Linked DNA regions of Oreochromis niloticus. The protein of the gene in region 1 interacts with the protein of each later gene in a pairwise test. Links are inferred from orthologs where the notes say so. Each region holds a gene or a part of one and is shown in the gene's direction. Other genes may lie near its edges.

Region 1 (8,259 bases):
AACCCCCTCTCCCCTTCACCACCACCACCACCGCCACCCATCCAACCCAAAACCCACTGGCAGGCAGCGCTTCACTGAAGCTGCTGCTGCTGCTGCATGTTTATTTAATATTCTGAAGAAATTGAAATATCTTTGCGGGTTAACACACATACATACACAATTACATATCACTCACTCACACATACATACAAGCGCGCATACATTCACACACATTACCACCACAATATATAAATAAATAAAGTCGAGTAATAACGTTCTCTTGATCTGTGGCCAAGAGCGGAGTCGGAGAAAATCTTTTTCAAATGGTGTTTTCAGAAGCGCGGAGGGAGGAGCGTGAATGTCTGACACTGCGTGTTGCCTGAGCATGTCTCAGTCTGGTTCCCTCAGAGAAAGAGAGAACATTCACAGCAAAAGATACTCCCAGTATGACAGAAACACAGAAAATTAACCAAAGCCGAATGTGTGACTGTGCTGATATATTCAAACGACAGCTTGTGGATCGTGTAGATTCAGTGAAAAAGAAAAAAAAAATCACAGGTTGGGCAATTTAGCCACTCTGAGTGTGTGGTCCATGAATGAGAGCATGTATACGAGGTGTTTGAGAAGTGTTAAATGAACAAATGTGCATGCCAGCTTTTTTTTTCTGTGTGCGTGAGTGAATGTATGCACGCACGCACATCCATAATGAGTGTGCGATCATTACAAAGCAATTCCTTCAGACAGAAATCCCTTAAACAGCCTTGGTTTTGGTCTTCATGCTATCCCCCTTCTGTCTCCTCTCTCCTCAACAGCCACCAACCACTGCTGCTGCCAAAAATAACACAGGAGCGCCACTCGAACCCGCGCCTCACCACAGCACAGCCTGGCCGCAAGAGAAGGATCAAAACACACACAAAAAAGGAAACACATCATATTGTGGAAGGAGGGAAAAAGAGCAGCTCGGGGCTTCAAGATATCTACTGATGATTTTGGCAAGCAAAGAACCACACATACTAATGCACCAGGCCAAGGCAGGGAAAAGGAAAGTGTGTTTGTGGATGTGCGCATACAATTTGGATGAAGTATACTGTAACTGCTAAGAGATGGCATTCATCGCTGATCTCATTCAGTCAAGGATTTAACCACAAGCTCAATAAAAACGCTTACATTATCACATTATAGGTCAATAAATTGGAGCCTTCAGCTGATAAATAAAGTCTCAGAGAATAAGACAAATTAACACTGTAAGTATGAGTAATGAGGAGGAGGGGTGCACTCCGGTCACAGATACTCAGGTCAGTGATAAATCACGCTGCTCGGATTGTAGGTTTAGGAGTTCAAATGGGAGGCAGCTCTACTCATTGTCATGGCCAGTTCACTTTGTGTTGCGTTTGGCAAAGCGGGCTTATCCACACTGACACGCTGATGCCAGTGGACGAAGTTTTCAGAGCTCTGGTTCGACAGTGGCCAGCAGGGCTTTGCAAGCACACCATCATGGGATTAATTGTTGATCCCCGGAATTAAAGATAATTCATGGAAAGGTGGAAAATGCTAATAAAATAAAACATTTTACGAAAGCGCTGCTACATAATTTGGAAAGGAGACTCTGACGTTGTGGGTTCAGATGATTTCTGGGGTCTGCACGGTTCCTTTGGCTATTTATGAAGACACATCTTTCCAAACCAAGCAGGGAAAAAGATCCCAAATTAATAGAGCTGCCTGACTGTAATATCATTGTAAAAACATTTACTTGGGTAAATTATTTTTCATTGTAATCTTTTAAAATAAATTAAAAGTGCTGAAAATGTTTCTTTTGAAAGTTTATAACCTTTTTTATTCCATGGAGAGGTTTAACTCTGAATGTTTTCAGAATAAACACTTTGGGGCATATCTGATTTCAAAAACTTATTTTCAGCTTTAGGGTGGTCAGTCCACTACACGAAAGGAATTTCTCGTGTTGCCACGTTGGTCTGTAGTGGATATGACAGGTGCTGGACATCCCAGGGACCCGACAGGGAGGGCTGTCAGCGGGGGAAATCTATAGCTAACTGTCGCCCTCTTCTGGTTACATTTAGGAACGCCAAATCATACACAGTTCAGCTACCTCATGCAAAACATATAAAACTGTAGAAATGACTGTAAAAAATAAACTATAAGGCGATTTTTTATTTACAGGCTAAAACAAATACCTTAAAAGTTAAGTAACAAATGTAATTCAACGTGATGCAGGACTTCTCTGTTTTCTTACCAATCTGTTTTTAAATCCTCAGTGGCCTGCTGCACTTTTAAGACTTCACTACCGTGAAAGCGATCATTTACCAAAAAATGTGGACCATGTTCACAGTTTGGAGATGATGGCGCTGACAAAAGACAGCAGGCAGAGCTGAAGATGCTGAGATTTGAGCTGGAGATGAAGCTGCCAAGCAGGGGGAAAGATGAAGCCCACTGAGAAGATTCATAGATGCAGCGAGAAAGGACATGTAGTAGGGTGGTGTGACAGAAGACGATGGCTGTGTCCCAATTCAGGGTCTGCACGCTTGAAGTACGCGTTTCAAGTGCGATTACGTCACCGCCACGCGACGACGGCTGTCCCAATTCAAAGTGTACTTCAAATGCATACTCCAAATGCGCCGTCGATTTCCCCAAATATCAAGCGTGGTCCGGTGCACGCTTCCTGGCCCCATATATCCCACAATCCATAGCGCGGCGGTGGGTGTGGATAATTTTGCCGCAAAATACGGCAGAAGGGAGCGGCCGAAGAGTGAACTGTCAAAAGTAAGTACTGAATATGATGTCACTTATTTATGTGCGAATGTTTAAGAACATTAAAACATTACTGTTGGCCACATGTCGGGAAAGTTATGTGACATTAGTGATGTTTGTACTTTCAGCGTAAACTTGGTTTTAAAGCCTCTACTTCTAAATATATATATAGTTGACCTTAATCTTACAGAGAATGTGATGATTTTATGGATAATTAAAGTCAGTCATATATCCACAAACACAACAAGCTGAAAGTCAGTGATGCTGCTCGGTTTGCAGTCCTGAATATGACGGCACAAGCAGGATTCACTGCACTGTTAATGTTAGCTATGTTATATTGCTGCCTCTGTTCGGTGGTGTCGAGCCAAACGGACTTTAACGTGTGTTTGAACGAGCTGACGGTTCACTCGTTAAGCTGAAAGAAAGATGCTTTAATCACAGGAGTCACACATGTGTCCACTGGACCATCTGGGAACTCTTCTTGTTTAGCACTCGTAATAACACAAACACTAAATCCTCCTTCTCTTGTGCTGTTTTGTAGCAGTGTGTACACCTGAGACTGTCACCTGTCTGTCTGTCCTGCACTCTCTCTCTCTGTTTCTTTCTCTCTGATTGTGGAATAAAAGTATGAACATGTATTTATAAGTTACACTTGTGTTTGAATCCTGCAGCTTATCACACATTTGATTTCCATGTGTGACAACTGCAAGTGTCCAGAGTGAGGACAGACTGAGGGACCCACTGCTGCACATCATCTGTGAGGCTTTGCACCCCTGATGATCCACCAGGACAAACTCAGCAGTGTGTGAGGAAGAGGAGGAGGAAGAGCCAGCAGCAGCTGACAGATGGAGAGAATAGACAGACTGTTCCCTGTTTGTGAAGGACTGCTAGGAAAGTTTAACATAACTAATTGTCTGTCCTGAATCAGTCTTATTAGGTAATGTTCAAATAATGTTATCATTCCAGTGTTTTCAGTGTGAGAGAAAGTACTCAGAGCCTTCAAGTTACACAGTATGAAAGGCAGCAACAAGTTTAATATTCAGAAACCTAAAGTATGTATCAGCAGCAGAACGGAGCTAAAAATAAATGTTTGTTTCAGTTCTATGAAGCTTTGAGTATTTTGGATCAGTAGTGCTGCTGTGTTTGTTGCATCATATTGCTGTAATTGTTTATATGCTTTATATATTCTGAGGTAAGTTGATCCATAGTGTTACATCATATTCTATAAGGATGTTATGTGTTTGTAGACTTTCTGCCCAGTTTGACCCATTTAGCAGAAGTCAGCCTGTTTAAGGCTCTGATATCTATTCTGTATGAGTTAACGCAGTTATGACACGGTCTGATTTTCTCACCCAATAAAGGAATATTTCATATATCAGTCTGATCTTCATTCTATCAGAAACGGTTATCACAGCTCGTACATTTGCTTTTTACACATATATATATATAAGCATTGAGCCAAATTTAGTAATGCCAACATATTGAAAGAACAATGTTTGTCTCTTATATATAATACATCTGTATATACACTGTCAGAGATACTTGTCTTTGAGTGAAGATTTAAGGTGATAGGAAATATAAATAACTGCTACTTGCATCTTTGACCCAGAGTTCAAGATCATATATATATATATATATATATATATATATATATATATATATATATATATACAATACATATAATATTGTCCATATTATATTAACATCACCACAGTGAGATGACTTTAGTCTCATGAATAACATTAGCTAATTATTATTTACTAACTAATCTTGAAATGACTGTTCAGTACAGAAATGAAGCCCAACTATCATGTTTTACAGTCCTGTGGGCTCAACTAATCAAAGTGATGTCATGACAAAAATGAATGAACAACAAAACATTTTTTCTCCTTCATTTCTGTCACACAAAGCTGTATGAAACATTTCTCGCGGTTAGTATCATGGTTGCTAGGCAACCTGAACAGCACGACGAAGGCTAGATCGTCCCATTTCACAAGCCTCTCACTTCCGCACTTCCCGTACTTGTAGTACGCACCGTACGTAGTACGCGTAGTGCGCGTACTTCAAGCGTGCATACCCTGAATTGGGACACAGCCGATGCTACAGCAGATGGTTTGTTTGGCGCCCCCTACAGGGAACAGCCGAAAGAAGAATGTCTGACTTTTTGACCTCTCTGATGTGCATAAATACCTGGATTGACGCCTGTTGTATACTTCTGTCTGTACCATCCATAGAAAGAGATGTTTCGTGAAATCTCAGCGTTGAACGTGCTAAAAAAAAACAGAGGTTTCGCAGTGAGCCGCTGACGTCATATCCTCGCGCCAGAGGATTCCGCTGTTGTAGTCTGTCGGGGCGGCAGTGACGGGGGGGCTTCGCTTTATGCCGTCGCCTCATCATCTGTAAGGGGAAACAATAAACAGCGTCTGATGAAAGCAAGTGTCTGTTTTGGTGGGGGGGAACTGCCATCCGAAACCGACCGGCTCTGTCTGCGTGAAATAGGGAATGAACGACGAGACAGCATCGGACAGCTGGAAGAGAAACTCCGGGTGCTCCAGGTAAAGCTAAGCTAACAGCTCCCCCGGTCAGTCCACCACACTCCTCCTCCAGTAACAAACAAGATGAGAAGGCTGGCTTTTAGTAGCGTTTCAGAAACAGAGCTGTAAACACGAACTGCTAGCATTTTTTTTTTCCTGACAGCTGCACGTTGCAAAACTGTGACGCCAGAATGACGGCATCGGGTCGTCTGCAGACTTTGGTGACATCCATGCTCTTTTACTCCGTTTCCACACTGTATTCAGACTCTTCGATAATAAAGTAGCTACACTCACACTGAAAACTTTGTAAGCTTCCCCTTTCCGATAGAAAAGTGACTATTAATCTATAATTAGATCAGTGATGGCTGTATTGATCTACAGCACGTGCATTAAACACGAAATTCAGATCTCCACTAAAGAAAGTTTTTTTGTTGTTGTTGTTGTTGTTTTTTGTCTAAGTCTATCCATGTCTGAGGACCTGAGCTCCATAGAGCTTATCTAGTAGTAACACTGAAGGATACCCTTCATTATTAAAGCACATGTTTTACCTCTCATCCGAGAAGCTACGTCAGTTCTATGACCAAATGCTGGAAAGTCCCAGATTGTAAGCAACTGTTGATCATGTGGCTCATCACATGGGCCAAGGTGTGAAAAAGGGTGTGGGTCATTATCAGCAGAGGTTTCTTGTGAACCCATTGTGAGACCTTGCTTCACCCTATCATGTGAGTTACATGGGAAACTACACTATAGGTGGCAGAGAGTTCAAAGATGATGCTTCACAGTGGACATAGATGGCTTCGTTCACTCCTCTTTCAAACCGTCTGTCTTCTTTTGTCCAAAATGTGAATATTGACATCCTTGAAAGACTGACCTTTGACCTTTAGATGCAGACGTGCAGCCGAGTCTTGTCCTGTCGAGGTGGCTCTTCTGTGTTGTGCCATTTATGAAGTGGCTGTTTGGTTTCTCCAGTGAGAATGAAGCACAACTTTACACAGATGTTTTATGACCATTTTTGCAGCCATTTATTTTTATACAGATCAGACTTTGAAAACATTGCATTTTTCTTCTTTTTACTTAGTTTTTTATTCTACTCTTCTGTCTACATTATTTGACATTTTTGTCAACTTTCAGGTGAATTAAAGTCTCATTTAATTGGTGAATATAAGCATGGATATATGTAACTGTAATTGTTTCTGTAACTCTAATATGTCCAAGTTCTGTTTGAACCTGTGTTTTGTTTTACTTTTGAAGACAGAGAATTCAAAATATATAGAAAAAGTATCAAAAACATAGTTCCCCGTAATATTTAGTGAGATTTTTACTCTCCTAATAGTTTTTGTTTTAATTTTTGAGTGAATAAAAACTAAAATAAATATAGGTATGAAAATGAAAATAAATAATAGATAACAAAGTAAAACTATGAAGTTACACACAATATACTAAACCCTATATACAATTATTTTTCTTGTTTGTATGAAAAGGTGTTTCTGAAGAGTTTGTCTCATGCGAGGTTTTTCTCTTATGTAGTATTGAGCAAATGCTGGCTGTGAATCCCGGAAAGACGCCCATCAGTCTGCTGCAGGAGTATGGAACGCGGATAGGCAAGACCCCAGTGTATGACCTGCTGAAGGCCGAGGGACAGGCCCACCAGCCCAACTTCACGTTCCGCGTCTCCGTCGGAGAGATCAGCTGCACCGGCCAGGGGCCCAGCAAGAAGGCAGCCAAGCACAAAGCAGCTGAGGCTGCTCTGAAGATGCTAAAGGGAGGCCTCGGAGGTCCTGCCGGAGTTGGTATTGGAGTAGACGGGTTTATTGGGGTTGATGTGTCTACTGATGCAGATGGGTCAGTTTTTCTGTTTAATTTTTTTAAACATCCAATAAGCAGGCCAGCCTGAATGTTAAGAAGAGCATTTCAACACTTAACAAAAGTAAGATAGAGGTTTGTGTGGTTTCATTGTTACCTTTTTGTTTTTTTCTCAACATCTGTGTAGTGCCCAGTCAGAGATGAAGACCACAGGCACTTCACAGCAGTCTGAATGCAACCCTGTAGGGGCTCTGCAGGTAAATAAACGCAGACAGCTACCAAGGTTTCATTTTGCTGTCATTATTTCTGCGGCTTATAAATTTTCCAACTTTTGGTTTCTTTTTTACTTTGTTCTGCCAGGAGCTGGTGGTGCAGAAAGGATGGCGTTTGCCAGAGTACACAGTCACTCAAGAGTCTGGTCCAGCACATCGCAAAGAGTTCACCATGACCTGCAGAGTGGAGAGATTTGTAGAAATCGGTACGTGGCTTTGTTTCAATCTCTCAGCCTGCGTGCGCGTGTGTGTGTACCATGTTTACATATCTTTGTGGGGACAAAATGCCTGATCCACGAGTTTGCGGGCATTTTTGAGACTCAAAATGTGGTTTTAGTGTCAGGGTTACAGTTTGGTTAGTTGGGGTTAGGCATTCATTTTTAATGGTTAAGGTAAGCTGCTAGGAAAAGCATGATGTCAATTAGATGTCCCCACAAAGACATGAAAAACACAATTTTGTGTGTGGGTGGTGTGTGTTCACTAATTAAATATTTTTGATAGAAAACAGCTTAATAAAACTGAGCAAAATCATATATCTATTGTTACGCCTTTCACACTGGTCAACCAGTTTGTGACTTTCCTTGACTTACTCTCTTAAAGCATGAAAAACTTCAGAGATATCAAGCACATCCTTTGGTTTCTGATGCAATCTCCTCTTCCTCACCAGGAAGCGGTACATCTAAGAAGCTAGCCAAGAGAAACGCAGCAGCTAAGATGTTGTCACGCATACATGATGTCCCCGTAGATATGAGGACCAGCAATGATGCTGATGCAGAAGATGATACATTTACTATGGTGGGAATCAAACACTGCTACACTAACTGACAAATGTTTATTAAGCATCATTAGAGGAATTAGAGTTTACTTCACTTCTACGTAGTAACAAAATATTTTTTTAAATTTTATTT
Region 2 (7,525 bases), on another chromosome or scaffold:
AATCCCAGCGTGAAGAAAAGGAAAAGTGTGTTTCAACTTTGACCTTTCACATGTCAGGCAAACATGAAAACCACTGCTCTATTTACGCTCCATTTAATCTTCTTGTGGCTCCTGTTCTTGAAGAGAGAGATCTAGAGAGGAAGAGGAAGTCAGATTTCCCAATAAAAATACATTTTAAAAAAAGCAGAACGGAGTTTTGCATCAGAGAAAAACAAGAAAACATAATTTTTTTCTATCAACCAGAAATGCAATTTTCGGCTTTTGATTTATTACCTTTGAATCTCTCAGAATCATATTCAGAAAGGGTTTTTTTGCCAAATGTTGGGCAGGTTTACAACATTAGCAAATTGCTGCAGTACTTAGTGCAAAACATAATGTAAGACAAACACATAAATAAACATAAAAATAAAAATTAAAAGTGCTAAGCAGACTGATATATACATGTACGCAGGTAATGATCAGTGCAAAAATGGAACAGATGCAGAGAACACAGTATAGGTTCATGTGTTTGTGGTAGGAGCAGTCATATGGTTATTGTTCATGAGTCCAACAGCAGAGGAGAAGAAAATGTTCTTATGGCGAGAGGTTCTGGTCCGAATGAACCGAAACCTCCTGTCTAAAGGGAGCAGTTAAAATAGACTGTGTCCAGGGTGAGAAGTGGGGCTGTGTGCTTCCTGAAGTCCACAGTAATCTCCACTGTCTTCTGGGCGTTCAGCACCAGGTTGTTGTGGCTGCACCAGGACACCAGATGTTCAATCTCCCTCCTGTAGAGACACTCATCCCCGTCCGAGATGAGTCCGATAACAGTGGTGTCATCTGTAAACTTAATTAGCTTGACAGACTGGTGGTTGGAGGTGCAGCAGTTGGTGTACAGGGAGAAGATCAGAGGAGAAAGAACACAGCCTTGGGGGGAGCCAGTGCTGATGGTCCGGAAGTCCGAGACATTCTTCCTCAGCCTCACATGCTGCTTCCTGTCTGTCAGGAAGTCAGTGATCCACCGGCAGATGGGATCAGGCACATTCATCTGGGAAAGCTTGCCTTGGAGATGGTCTGGAAGGATGGTGTTGAAACAAACAGGCACAAACAGGATCCTGGCATAGGTCCCCGGGGGGTCCAGATGCTGCAGGATGAAGTGTAGAGCCATGTTGATAGCATCATCTACAGACCTGTTGGCTCTGCATGTAAACTGCAGGGGGTCGAGTAGGGCGGCCGTGAGGGTCTTGAGGTCTTGATCTCTGCAGGGGTGAACGTTCTTCCTTCAGTGGAGAGGTCAAGCTGGGCCAGTTGCATTTTGCAGAAAGGATGGAAATTACTGTGGTGAACATGCCCTTTTATGAAGAAGAAGGAACACAGGGTGACATAGAAGAGTGATTGAAGGTGTACACAGGAGGATATCTTATGCAGAAGGTGCAATGTGAAAGAGATGGGGGAGAATGTATGTAGGCAGCATCGGACGGCAGTCTGTAGGATGACTTTGGAAATCGAAAAGAGGAAGAGAATGAGAGGTGGAAGAAACTGGCCCGACTTCACCCTAACCCCTGAGACAAGTTTTTGTTAGGAGAGTTACCAGATTGATACCTTGGGTGTCTAACAATCTTGTGAAAACTCAAAGACTTATCTTAAGGGGTTAATAACGATACGACATCTTAGGAGACTTACCATTTCACGTCATGGAATAATTATGAAGACAGTAACTTTACTGTAGTTTTTTCAAGTAAACCAAAACCATATGTTTCCGCCCGGTTTCGAACCGGGGACCTTTCGCGTGTTAGGCGAACGTGATAACCACTACACTACGGAAACTTGCTTAGCATTCAGAACGGGTTATCTTGAGAAAATGAATAACATTTAAAGAGATTTTATCAGTCTAATATTGTTATTATATAGTCATACCCTGTCTGCGCACATTTGCCTTAGTTATCGCTCTGTTAATACACTGCATATCATAGTAGGTGGCCATGACAATCACCTCACTATAAAAACTCTGTGTATCCTCGTAAAGTTGCACTATGCTGCAGAAAATATGCAATGCAGCAGAAACTTCCAAACTTCCAAACAGAAACTTCAAAGCATTTCCATTATCCAGTATATTGCCACAGCAACTCTCCTTCGGTCTCCGTTGAGTGTTTAGTTAATAGTTATTTGTCTCCACCTAGTGGCTTACTCAGATTCAGCAGAAACACGTGTGACTGCGAACTGTGATGCGCCTCAGTATCTGCGTTCCCATGACGTGAGTGGGAACACAATTCGTGGTGAAGATGGGGCATCTACTGTCTGGAACTGTTGTCCAGTTTTGTAAATGTGCCTTGCCATCCATCCCCAAAGGTTCTCAATTGGATTTTAGATCAGGGGAACACGTAGGATGGTCCAAAAGAGTGATGTTATTTTCTCAGAGAAGTCCCTTGTCCTGCAGTCACTGTGTACTGTAGAACTGTCCTGTTGAAAAACCCAGTCGTTACCACACAGGCGAGGGCCCTCTTACATGAGTGGTGTTCTCTGCAACATCTGGACACAGCCAGCGGCCGTTTGACACCCCTGCACCTCCTGAAGCTCCGTTGTTCTACTGAAGGAAAAAGCACCCCACCTAACTCGGTGACCACAAATATGGCTTGTTACTTCAGTTAATAACGTAATGTTTATGAAAAGTGTAACTCAGGGAAAGCAAATAATGTTTCCGCCCGGTTTCGAACCGGGGACCTTTCGCGTGTTAGGCGAACGTGATAACCACTACACTACGGAAACCTGTTGAACTGCCGGTTGGTCACCATGGAACAGGTCAGTATAAAAATAAAAGCCCACAGTTAAAGTAATTTTCCAGTATTATCTACTAATCCTGTCATACCCTGTCTGCTGCATTAATTCTTCATCTCGTCGGCACATACGGACTGCGCAAATTTACTACACTGCTGTATTATGCTAAAACTCAAAGTTGCACGATGCTGCAGAAATTATACAACGGAAACTTCTAAATGCATTTTCCATTAACCAGTATAATGCTACAGCAACTCTCCTTCCGTCGCCGTTGAGTTTTTTGTTAATAGTTATTTGTCCCCACCTAGTGACTGACTCAGATTCAGCAGAAACACGTGTGACTGCGATCATTAAGAACAAATCCTATGAATGTTTGAATGTTGGAGAAAATCAGACAATAAGATATGATATGAACTGTGCTTACTGTGATGTGTCTCAGTATCTGCTGTGACACAGATGGAAAGCATGGATCCATCCTAGCAACAATTTAGGACCAGTGTGGCCAGTGTGGACCAAATATCTGCAAGGTGCGTTTCCAGCACCTTGTTGGATCTATGTCATGAAGAACAAAGGGAGATCTGAAGGCACAATGTACCTAATAAATCGTCAGGTGACTGTTTAGTAATTCTGTTTTCTTGATAACGTGAAGAATAATTATAAAGAAAAAGGTATGATGTTTCCGCCCGGTTTCGAACCGGGGACCTTTCGCGTGTGAGGCGAACGTGATAACCACTACACTACGGAAACTCGGTGCGATAAGTCTTCTCTCATTTTCCAATAATATATTGTTTTACAATGATATACATGTCACAATATACATGTCACAATCTAATATTGTCACACACGATTTGGCGACATGCAAAAATACTCACTTTTATAAAGTTACAGGCCTGCTGTTGCGAAAATACAGTCTAAAAGACATGTTATAATTACAATTTCGAACCGGGAAGTCATTCAAGTCATATAAGTCATTACCGAAGAGGATTAGGTCCACCGGAAAAAAAAAAGGTGGGCACGTCTTTTTTTTTCTTTTCCGGAATTCTGAGAAAAAAATCAGAATCCTGAAGTCAGAACTTTTTTCTCAGAATTCTGTCTTGATTCTGACTTTTTCTCTCAGTATTCTTCTCAGAATTTCTCTTTTTTCTCTCAGTATTCTGAGAAGAATTCCGACTTTTTTCTGAGAAAAAGTCAGAACTCTGAGATTAAAGTGGGAATTCTTAGACTAAAGTCAGAATTCTAACTTTTTTCTCAGAATTCTGGAAAAGAAAAAAAAGACATTCCCACTCTTTTTTCCCCCTGGGGCCCTAATCCTCTTCCGTAGAAACGATACAATACAGAAAACGAAAAACATGTTTCCGCCCGGTTTCGAACCGGGGACCTTTCGCGTGTTAGGCGAACGTGATAACCACTACACTACGGAAACTTCGCTTCGTAACCAGTGGACTTGTCACCCACAAAAATCCAAACACACAACGAAGGACAACGTGTATATGGACGATTTGGCCTGAAAAAAACATTAAATCGAGTGGCTTGTCGTTTGTAACAAATCATTTTCCATTGTGGAGAGGACTGCCTGGTCTGCATGCTACCGGGGAAATATTCCGACATGAGATGTGAATAAAAGGTATTTCTACAATTGGTATCCCACTACGGATATACGCAAGTCCAAACTGAGTGTGACAGCTAAGAAACAGGCTCAAATGCACTGAAAACTGTCTGTGCTGCCTGCCTGTTAGAGAACAGCCCACAGTGGGAAGTCCTTTTGCTCTGCCTGCGAGTTGCGCATGCGTGTTCGGACGCCGCTGGCTGTGAGTAGAATCTATGGCCGTCGCGATGCAGACCGACGATTTTCCTTACTTACCTTCGGGACCAGCAGAGAGTATGTCCTGTTTATTTAACAATTTAACGTTTGTTTTAGAAGAAAAAGGCGCGGTTGCACTGTGTAAAGGCCCTCCCTGTTATTGCTTAAAATACCGGCGCTGTTGTTACCTTCGCAAAGCTAACGTTAGCCGGTACTTCAGTAATAAGCGCATCGAGTTGCTAAAATGTGCTATGCTAGCTGTAGCCGTTTCGGTTCCAAGGTCGACTAGAGCACGTCTGCATCCGATGTTGCTTTTCAGTGACTGTGAAACATTTGGCCTGAATGGTTACTAATACAGACAGAGGGAGGCATCTTTGGCTTGGCATCAGCTGAAATGCGTCTTTCAGGCCATGCGGATTGCACTTCTGCTGGTCTTGCTTGTGTGTTTAGTAATGCAAGCAAGATACATGTGAGATTTCAGCTCAGGACAGTGTCATAACCACAAGTGTATGAATTATCTAAAAGTTTTTGTTTTAAATTTATGCGTGCCAATATTCGATTCGATGTATTTCCAGATAATTATCCAGGGTGTAGACTTTAGTGTACATACTCTTTATGTTAGTCTTGGAGAGTCTGTTTTGTTTGTTTTTTTCCCCCCCTCTACTTTGGAAAGGATGCCACGACCATCCAGTGTGTTGTCTTTGGTGGACATGCAGATTTTTTTCTCCAGTGTGTTCTTTCATTCTCGGAATACATCAAATCGTTGATTGGGCGACTTATATTCCCACTGCACACTTTTTGCAGCCTAAATGGCAACTGTGACTGCGATCCAACCACAGATTCAATTGTCCATTTAATTTTGGTGCCTCGAAAAAGACTGAGCTTTGTAATTCCTAAAACCTTCCCACAGTTTGGCTATGAAATGATAATAAAAAACAAACGAACAACAACAACAAAAACTGTGCAGTTTAAGACCTGTAAATGAGAAAGCTTTTGGTAAACAGCTAAAACAGCATTTACTTTTTGCATATGCAGTGTTTTCACTGCAGTTTTTTTTCCCTTCTGATCCTTTTTCCATTTTGGTTCCAAATTCCACATGAGCATTGCAGCGTCTTCTGTTGAGGTCCTGTCATCTTCAAAGCTGTGAGGAGTGTTTGCATAACAAGACGCCCAAGTCTGAATAACAAAAAGCTGTGACTTTAACAGGATTCTGAATCCTCTAATGTGACACATTCAGATTGTAAATGCTTAAAAATACACTGTGCTCCTACATGTGTAAAGGCGACGTGACATGCCATGCCATCCTCCTACAGAGCTGTAACCAACCAATTCGGCTGCCTCTCAGGATAATACACCACCTGTTTTGTGTGTGTGTGTGTTTTTTTTAAAATTATTTATACATATATATTTTACTTTTGAGATATCAAGATGAATTAGTGATCTGCTTGGTATGAGCCAAGAATGACTAAGACTAAAAAGCAGAGTTGGGCCTAAAAAAACCCCAAAAACCATGCTTCTGTGTCTTGTAGTATGTTATTCACAGATGTTTGCACAGGCATTGCCATAAACCCATAGGCAAGATAATGGTTAATCCAGAAAACTGTTTGTATTTTTCATAACACTATTAAATAAAACAGAATAGTGCATTTGAGCTCTTACATCCTTGGTAAGTAAAAGGAGTAGCTCGAGCAGATATGTTGTTTGAACTGCTGCCACAAATAGTCTCTTCACGTTGTGTTATAATTGCATTTTCCCAGATGATGTAACCTGATTTGAAGTTTCTCTCTCTCTCCCTTTCCCCTCCTTTGCAGTAAATAAGATGATAAAGGAGCATGGCGACCTGTTTTCTGACTCCCAGTGTAAAGTCTGCAGTGCTGTCCTAATTTCTGAATCTCAGAAGTTGACTCATTATCAGGTCAGTGAGCCCACGGTCTGCTGCGTGCTGCTGTGTTGGTGTCAGGGGACTTAGCTTTCATTAGATGGTGCTACAGTTTTCAGCAATGAGAGAAAAAGTGCACACTTATCACTTATAAGGTGTTATTATTGAATGGACTTGGCACTACATTAAAAGTTTATTAAAGCTGTAATAGCACATCATCATTAGGCTGTCCAGTAAATCACAAATATAGCAAAAGAGGGCTGAAGGGCTGTTCAACTAGCTGAGAGTAAGTGGACCTTTGGCTACAGTGCTGACCAGATGTTTGCTGTGATGCACTTCTGTTTTTTCCCCTGCTGCAAAGTGGATGATGAAGAGGAGACAATTCTAAGTTATTCTAAATTTTGACAAATCTGCAAAAGTAAACAGCTTTTCAAATACTAATGTCTAGTTTAAGTAAAATGATTGGACATTGTTTGATTTATACATTCATTTGTGATTGCTGGCTCTCTTTGCAAAGAATCAAACCAAAGAAAAATAGGAAATACTTACATCTAAAAACGTGTAGTTGCAGTATTTGGCATTTATTGTGTAGTAAATTAGCAGTAGTAGATTGATGTCGATCCATAAATGCAACACTGAAAAGGTTATATTAAATACAGTTATATTTTACCTGAAATATTGATATGCTAAAGTTTGGAGACATAAACGTGTTAGAAATGTGCAGTGAATGTTTGTGTCCACTGTGGAATAAACCTTTGTGCTTGTCCTTTCAGAGCAAGAAGCATGCCAACAAAGTGCGGCGCTATCTTTCCATCCAAAATGAAAAAGAGCCAGCACTCAAAAAGCTGAAGCCCTTAACGTCTGACAGCGTGAGTAAAAAGTAGAGAACTCAAACCAGCACCGAGAAAACTTTTTATGAGTCACTATTACCTCGCCAACTATAAATCTGAAACAAAGTACTTTTAGAGATATCTTTGATCTTGAGCAGTTGGCTCTCCCAGTGTGTCTTGCACTTTTTCAGTGGGAGGTTTGTGTATTTTAAGACCATCAGTGAATGTTCCAGTCATATCTGCCTGCTCTTCAGTTTATATAAA
Region 3 (8,153 bases), on another chromosome or scaffold:
CTGTGATCACATTACAAAAGTCCAGTAGATGCTGCACAACTGTGAGCAACGTGGGGAGGATGTGGTTATTTGTAACCCGGGCCCACCGGCTGGTGGATTTCCCATAAGGCAGAGCATGCGTCCAGTTGGTGTGTGTGTGTGGGAGAGAGAGGAAGGGGGGTTCATGGGAAAACAAATGTGATGAATCAATGTGGATAATTATTTGTGCAGGGGAGGAAACATATGGTTGAACCCTCAGAGGATCAGAATAGCAAAATCAATGCTAAAATTTTCTCTTTGGTACAAAGGGTTAACAGAGGCAGTTATACAAAAGGAAACAATTTAATGAAACTATTTCAGAGTGTACACTTTGAGCTCCCAAGTTTGCTTTGAACTGCTATCAAGTGCTGCGTCACATCCCCAGAGGCGCTATGAAATTGAGTTGCTTACAAAGCACCTTGCACAGCATTGTTTCACCATAATCAAGAAAAGGGTTAGAGTGAGTCTCGTGATTCTGCTTTGACTCCGCTGTTGAGCAAAGCACAAACAAGTCACAATCGTCTGCACTTCCTCATCGCTTCTGATAGAACAGAGTTTTTTTTCTTAATCAAATAGGAAAAATATTATGATCAGCAAGAGAAGACACAGCAACTGCGCTCTTAGCGGTTTCATGTTTGGGGAGGCTCATTTCCTGCCTCTGGGTTTGCAGGACTCCAAATAAGCACAAGCTAAAAAAAACCCAAAACATGACATTTTGTCTATACTTTGCCTCTTTATAACATTTATTAACCCCCCCACCCCCACCCCCACCCCTTACTCCTCCTCCTCCCACACAGACACACACAAATAGAAAGTCCAGAAGCACCAAAAAAATCTTTGCAGAGCTTCAGACAAAACAGAATGAACCCTGAGGCAGAAGCAAAGAGAAAACAAACAGAATCCAGTCCAGTCATCAGTGATTACCCTCAAGGTAATGACGGATGGGAAGGGTATGATGGGTAGGGCACTGCCAGACAAGTCCCTCTCAACACATGCACACACACACACACACACACACACACACACACACACACACACACACACACACACACACACACACACACACACACATGACCTGTCAAGAGCATTAAGCATAGATACAAAATAAGAGTTGATTTTGCTCTCACAGCATAAAAAACCCCACAGTCTCTGTCGCATGTGTTTTTACAGAGAGAGATCACATAAATAAATAAAACACATCATTTTCATCATATTTAATAACATCTGAAAGGCAAAGCACTCTAATTATAGAGCATTACATGATAAAACTTGTTTCACTTTAAACAAATAGGATACAATCAATAAAAATGTTGCTGTTTGCAGTAAAATTCACATTTTTTTCCTTTGGAATGTCAAAAATGGGAAGAAAACAAAAAAACATTTCCTCTTCCCCCACCGAAAAGTCAGATCAGACTTCTGCCAAAAAAAAAAAAGCAAATATGTGTAGCTCTTCCTGTTTTCTAACCTTCTCTCACCCTGTTAAGAACAAGGCTTATTATTGCACTGACACTGGCTGTTGTAACTCAGCACCATGTGACTGATGATTTCTTATAACACCTTTTCACTTTGTTGTCTTTCACACATGCACTTGGCAGCGTTGGGGGGTATTTTCAGGTCGTGGTTGCGGGTGCAGGGACTTACCATGTTGTCATGAATGTCTGACCATGAAAAAGCTGATCACTCTAACAAGAAGGCCATGCTCCTCCTCAGAATTTCTCAAGCTCAGGGCGGGGTAGTGTGTGCGCGTATGTGTGTGTGTGTGTGCTCAAGCGTACACGCCATCGAGAAGGCGGGGACAACAAAAGCAGGATGTGATACAGCAGGACTCCACTTCCTCATAGGCTCTGTTCAAACCAGCGCAGTGCAGAGAGCGCCACCTCTCGGCGCTCGGCTGTCACAGCAGCTGCGTGCTGGTAAAATTCCACTCCCAGTGATAAGAAAGTGCACAAGTGCAAGCAGGCCGCACTGAAATGACTTGATAAGATGCAAGGTGTCTTGTGACTCTTGTGATGGAAATCACTCGTGTTTGTTTGAGGGTTCAAAATTCAGCAGGTTTAATGTATTTAACCACAGAAAGAGGAGTTTTACATGTGTTCACTGATGGCTCAGCCGGACCCCACCCATCTCAATCCACACCTCGGTGGGGGTCAACACTCAGGACCCTTCTACATGTGTGAAAGGTTGGAGTTTTAGTTCACAAAATCCACTTAACAAAAGAAAGCTCGCTTACAGAACCTCAAATATCCCTCACAGCACATTTCCTCACACGCTCAAAGAAAACTCCTCAAGCCAGAGAAGAAAAGTTAAACATTAACGCTGCTAAAAGCCTCCTGGAAGCTTTAACTTCCATTTGGGGTTTTAAAAGCAGCTCTTTGAACTTGAGAACCAGAAGCTATTATGCGAAGAGACACCGAATCAATTTTCCCTTGAGGCCTCCACTGCTATCGGCCCCAGCTGCATGAATCTTGAAAGCACATTTTAATGTAAGATCAGGAGGGTGATGTCACACCAGCAGTTGCATAATGGCGCCCTGTTCATGTAATTACATTTCATCTGGGCTTTTGTGTATGAATAATAACATATATGATTTGGCAGGACTATTAAACGTGCTTCAGTGAATAAAAAGCTCATTTTGATATAAAGGCAGCTCGTGGTTTCTGTTTATCTTTAATTTATGAATGCAATTCACAGTCAAAGGAGTCTTGGAAGGCTTTACAACTTCTGCCACTGCAGCTATCGCCAAATTTGTTGAAACCAGCACCTCAGATGTGAAAATAATACTTACAGAAAAATACATATATTCTCGAGTAACTTATAAGGGGCTGTACAAAAATATTTGTCCTTATAATTAAGATTTTGAAAATGTAGAGGGTTTCGTGCTTTGTTTCTTGTGTAAAGGAACTCCTTTTGACATCATTTATTTTTATGCTTACCTTTAGCCTTATGTTGCAAGATAAGTCGCTATAATCTACTCTACAATATCCCCCACACCATTACACCACCGACTGGTTGTACAAGCCTGCAGGATCCATGCTTTTATGTTATTTACTCCAAATGTGTACTACTATCTGAATGTTGCATTAGAAATTGAGACAAACCAGTCAATGTTTTTTCAATCTTCTAATGTCCAATTTTGGTGAGCTCTTGTAAATTGTAGCCTCAGCGACCCTGGGTGTGGTCTTCTGTTACTTCAAGGTTTGATGTGTTGTGCATTCAGATGCCTTGCTGATGGCTGAGGTCAGAAAGACCAGACTGCTTTGACCTGATCGAAAGGCAACAGTAACTAAAATAACCACCCATTACAAGCAAGGTTGTGATGACAACCAAGGTTGTAATGAGCATCTCTGAATGTAAAGGTAAAAAAAAAGGCTACAACAGCAGTAGACCACACCCGGCGCCACTCCTGCCAGCTAAGAACAGAAAACTGAGGCTAAGATTTTCACAAGTTCACCAAACATTTCTGCTCCAGCATTTAGAATTTAGCATAAACAACATCCAGCCTCAGTTCAGGCTGCTGGTGTTGGTGTAACGGTGTAGGGAATGTTTTCTTGGCATGCCTTTCGACCCTTGAGTACCAACTGAGCCTTATTTAAACACCACAGTCTACTTGAGTGTTGTTGCTGACCATGTTCATGCTGTCATGACCACAGTGTACCATCTTCTGCTGGCTGCTTCCAGCAGGATGAAACACTGTGTCACAAATATCCTTCACAGTCATGAGATCCCAGCGCGATGCAGCACCAATGAGATGTGGTGGAACAGAAGATTCACATCATGGAGCCATGTGCAGCCAACAAATGGATGATGCTATCATGTCGATATGGATCAAAAACTCTAAGGAATGTTTCCAGCAGCTTGTTGAATCTATGCAACACAGAACTGAGGCTGTTCTGAAGCCAAGAGGGTCCAAACCAGTACTAGCAATACAGTTGGTGAGTTTACATTTGGTCTTCTTTGCTCACCATAGAAATGGAAAGCACTAACTCCTTTTCGTTATATTATTTTAGTAGTTAGTATGAGTGTGTTCGGGTGAGTCAGTGCTGCATGTTTGGAAACAAAAAATGATGATGAATGTGCCGTGCTGTTGGGAAAAAGGGAATAAAGCAACAAAATAGGCAAACACAGACTAAATCAGCCTCCTTCATCACTTCAGCAATTTCCGTACAGTCCATAAAGCCCTAAAGGTATTATTGAATTGTTTTGTCAATGCTCCCATTCAGACAACATCCAATTAATACATAATCAACCTTTCAGCCATGCAATTAAGCCTGCATTTTTCTCTCATTCACGTCACCGTCGATGGTGTGATTACATCAAACCATGTTCCAGGCTTCCACGAAATACTAACAACTACCTGCGAACTGGTGCGTCCGCTGGAACTTTTCTGGTCTTAGCTCCACAACCACGAATTATCCTAAACACTCATTCATCTTCTTCCATCAAAACATGTAATTGCAGCACAGCTGAAAGACTTGCCTCATCTTGTCACGAGATCAGTTCCACTGAATTCCTGTCTGGAGGTCATTTGGCTGCTTGGATGCGAGGATTACACGTTTCTGCACGCTGAACCAAATATCTTTCATCTCGATCTCAGGAGCTGAAAAGAAGGAACATAAGGCTATAATAATAGCCATTAATGCAACACACATTTGAAATCGAACACTTTGTCTGGACGACACCCTCAGCTCCTCGTGTGGTTTAGCACAGGTTCATCCACATTTGTTATTGTGGGAAAAACAGGAAAGAGGCGTTAAAATAGACAGAAGTTTGGCCGTGGGAGTAACCTGGAAAATCCAAAAGCACACACCTAAATCCTCACATAAAGCACTAATCCCACAGTACATTTTAGATAAAGCACAGACTGACAGCACAGCTGGAAAGCTCTGCTGGGATACTTTCAGATTAAACAGGCCGCAGTGTACTGATTCGGGGATTCATGGTGACACTTTCATTGCAAAGAGGTTTCATTTGTAATGTTGCATTAATCCCTGTTTTTAGGGGAAAAAAGATTGCATACATACATATATATAGTTCCATTTTAAGAAAGTGATGGGAAACTACCTGCACTACCCTCATGCACACATTGACTTTGTGAGGCTACAGCTCCATCTAGAGGTGAATGCTGGCATTTTTCTCCCGTGGAGACACATTCAACATGGCTGCTCCCATGTAGACGTTTGCTAGGCTCACTGTTAGCAGGAAGAAACTGCAAACCATGAAGGAACTCAGGTAAACATGTGCAAAAGTCTATTTTAATGTGTTGCTAAGTGGTACATACTGCTGTGCTTTCAGGAGAGCAGTGCTTCATTTTGCAGTGAGGGGCAAACATCACCACATTAAGAAAAAAAACATTCATTGTTTCATCTTTACTTTTGTGTCTTTGCAGCCACAATGGATCCAAAGGAGATGCTCCGCTGTGCTCTTCAGATAGAGAAATTCAGTGCAGACAGAAGCTATGGGAACATCATGACCCTCCTTGGTGACCTCCAGAAGTCTCACGTCACAGCGGAACAGCTGGAAACAACTGACATCGTCAAAGTGCTCTACAGGCTCCTGAAAACCTGCACTGATGACAGCGTGAAGAAGACAGTCAAGAGCTTGCTGTCCGAGTGGAAGAGACAGTACACGAAGGACAGGCAAGGGGTGAAGTGCACAGAGGAGAGCGAGGATCCTGAGCTCCCTGCCAGTGTTTCTTCACCAAAAGAAGCCGTGGGTGGTGCGGTTTCTGCCCAAACATGTGATGGTGGAGAGGGGAATGCTGCAGGAGAACCATCATCTATGCAGGCTAAACCTGGACCCAAAGCTCATACTTCTGCTGCATCTCCAGATAACGTGAGAACCAAATGTGTGCAGCTCCTCCTTGCTGCCCTCTGCCCCTCTGCCCCCGATCAGGACAAGGCTGCTGAGTTGGCCCGAGACATCGAGCGGCACGTCCACGAACTTCATAATCACAACCAGGTCAAATATAAAGCCTGTGTGAGGAGCAAGGTGGCCAACTTGAGGAATCCCAAAAGCGGCCACCTGCATCAGGGCCTCCTGAGTGGCTCCCTGTCCCCCGAGGCCTTCGCCCGCATGTCTGCGGAGGATATGGCCAGCGCAGAGCTGCGGCAGCTGAGGGAGGAGTACTCCTCCCAGGGCGTGAGTGAGAGGCAGCTTCCTCAAGGGATAGAGGGGACGCGGACGGAGAAGATTCGATGCAAAAGATGCGGGGGGTCAGACTGTAGGGTGACGCAGGTGTCCAGAGGGGTTCTGTTCTTGCCTGCGTGGGTGAGGCAGGGCGGCCCAGATGAGGATGCAATGACCTTTGTGACCTGCAGCGGGTGTGGCCAGCAGTGGTACCACAGCAGCTGGGTCTGCCTCTGAATCCACATGGATAACATACATGACTAAGAAAGCTAAGAGCAGGTTAACTGATAATGAAAATAACAGATTTTTAACCATTTTGCACAAGAATCATGCTGTGTAGAACTTTCATTAATGATTTACTTTCTTATTTTTTGACATCTGTGGAGTTAAAAATGTTCAGAAATCTGGAACATGACCTTCTTGGATTCCTAGCTCAGATACTCAGTGTTGCTAGTTTTGAAATAATACATTTTGAAGGCTTTTCTTTACACATTTACATAATAAATTGACTTAAACTGCCATTGTTGCAGATGAATTTCCAGCCATTTAGTTGATTGGTTGTTTCAGCTGTTCTGCCCACTGTAAAATTGCACTTGTTTGAGTTGGTTTTCCAAGTTTCACCCCTAGTTCACAATTTGGTATTATAAAGGCTTTCCTGTGACCAGTTAAATGTTTTGAGTGTTATAAACTCAGCTCTGAAACAGGAGGATTGGTCACATGGGATGCAGAGTGGAAACTTTCCTGCAGGATGAAGTGCATACTTGTGGTTTAAACCAGATTTTTTCCCATAGGATTTGTGCTTTGTCTTTCATGCATTGACCACTAAAACCCACAGCTGAAAGCCTAAACTGTATCTTTACCGGCTGAAATGCCAAGTCATTGCAGTCTCCGACTGAAACCATGGATTTTCAAGAAGTAGCTGTCGTCATCTTCTTCCCGCTGAATCATTTCCTGTGTCTCCACTCTCTGTAATAGCCCTTCATTTTATTTCTACTTACAGTAGCTCATTTAACTGCTTTTACTGGCCGCTCTCTCTTACATTACTGATCTAAAGATCCATTAATGCCTTGACCACTGGCTTCGCTAATGTTTAATTTTATAAGTTTTATGAAAAAAATGCATTATTTTGCACTTATTGTCAGTATTTCTGAGTATTAACACGGTGGGGGAATTCTTTAAAACATGCCTCTGCTCTACAATATCCCATTCATTTGTAGCAAACTGAATCCAGCAGATGAGACATGTGACCCCTGAAGAACTCCGAGCATGTGAGCCAGTAATCTGCCCTCCCTAGCAGCCGGAGGGGCGGATATCCCATGGTGCTCCAGCCAGCGTGGCACAATGACTCACATACACGTCACTGTGATGTCACATGAAGCAGTCTTTTTTTGTGTGTGAAGATATTACAGAGAAAATGACTTATTTTTATCCTCAGCTGTTCTTCCTGCGTCATTATTTATGTCACGTCCTGGCCTATTGCATCTTTTCTGATTTTTGCAGCAGGCCGAAGGTAAAATGGCCAAATATGAAAAAAACCCCCATATCTTTCTATCGTGTTTGGTATCTCGACGCTGGTGCATTTGTCTGTATTCCATCCCCTCTCACGTGCTCCTTATCTTTTAAGTAGATAAGGAGCATTTTAGTGACGTGCCCTGTCAGATTGATGCTCTGCAGCCACATACAGCTGTGGTGAGAAGTTTACATCCACTCATCAAGGGCATAACTGTGATGCTAGTTTTGGGCTTTTAATGATTTCTTTGAGCTGTTCTGTTTTCAGGGTGGAATGATTGTACGGAATTACTCTAAAGAACAATCATTTTAATATTTTAATAGGTGGTGCTGTAGGTTCTACAATGTCTTAACAAAGCTAAGGCCTATTAACTCCTCATTAGGGATTATGATTGGGTACAGAAGGGAGTTTATCTTTACAGCATAAAAAGGATTTGTTTGACAGCACTCATTGGACTGACTCAGAATACTCAGAACAATTGGAAAATTCAAGGAACTCA

What was found.
Region 2: the proteins of tarbp2 (region 1) and znf346 interact in binary tests that used the Homo sapiens proteins (3 or more experiments, as listed by UniProt). The two-hybrid records come from large-scale screens. The link is inferred for Oreochromis niloticus from reciprocal best matches to the Homo sapiens genes TARBP2 and ZNF346.
Region 3: the proteins of tarbp2 (region 1) and tceanc interact in binary tests that used the Homo sapiens proteins (3 or more experiments, as listed by UniProt). The two-hybrid records come from large-scale screens. The link is inferred for Oreochromis niloticus from reciprocal best matches to the Homo sapiens genes TARBP2 and TCEANC.

Annotation. Positions count from the first base shown.
Region 1 is NC_031970.2:5,772,045-5,780,303, reverse strand, and holds the start of tarbp2 (RISC-loading complex subunit tarbp2), read left to right. Parts: upstream 1-5,081; 5' UTR 5,082-5,244; coding exon 5,245-5,297; intron 5,298-6,803; coding exon 6,804-7,118; intron 7,119-7,266; coding exon 7,267-7,336; intron 7,337-7,439; coding exon 7,440-7,557; intron 7,558-8,018; coding exon 8,019-8,146; intron 8,147-8,259. UniProt on the Homo sapiens protein: Required for formation of the RNA induced silencing complex (RISC). Component of the RISC loading complex (RLC), also known as the micro-RNA (miRNA) loading complex (miRLC), which is composed of DICER1, AGO2 and TARBP2.
Region 2 is NC_031975.2:23,624,578-23,632,102, forward strand, and holds the start of znf346 (zinc finger protein 346), read left to right. Parts: upstream 1-4,472; 5' UTR 4,473-4,572; coding exon 4,573-4,630; intron 4,631-6,363; coding exon 6,364-6,467; intron 6,468-7,204; coding exon 7,205-7,300; intron 7,301-7,525.
Region 3 is NC_031986.2:14,111,363-14,119,515, reverse strand, and holds tceanc (transcription elongation factor A N-terminal and central domain-containing protein), read left to right. Parts: upstream 1-5,100; 5' UTR 5,101-5,247; intron 5,248-5,404; 5' UTR 5,405-5,409; coding exon 5,410-6,381; 3' UTR 6,382-8,145; downstream 8,146-8,153.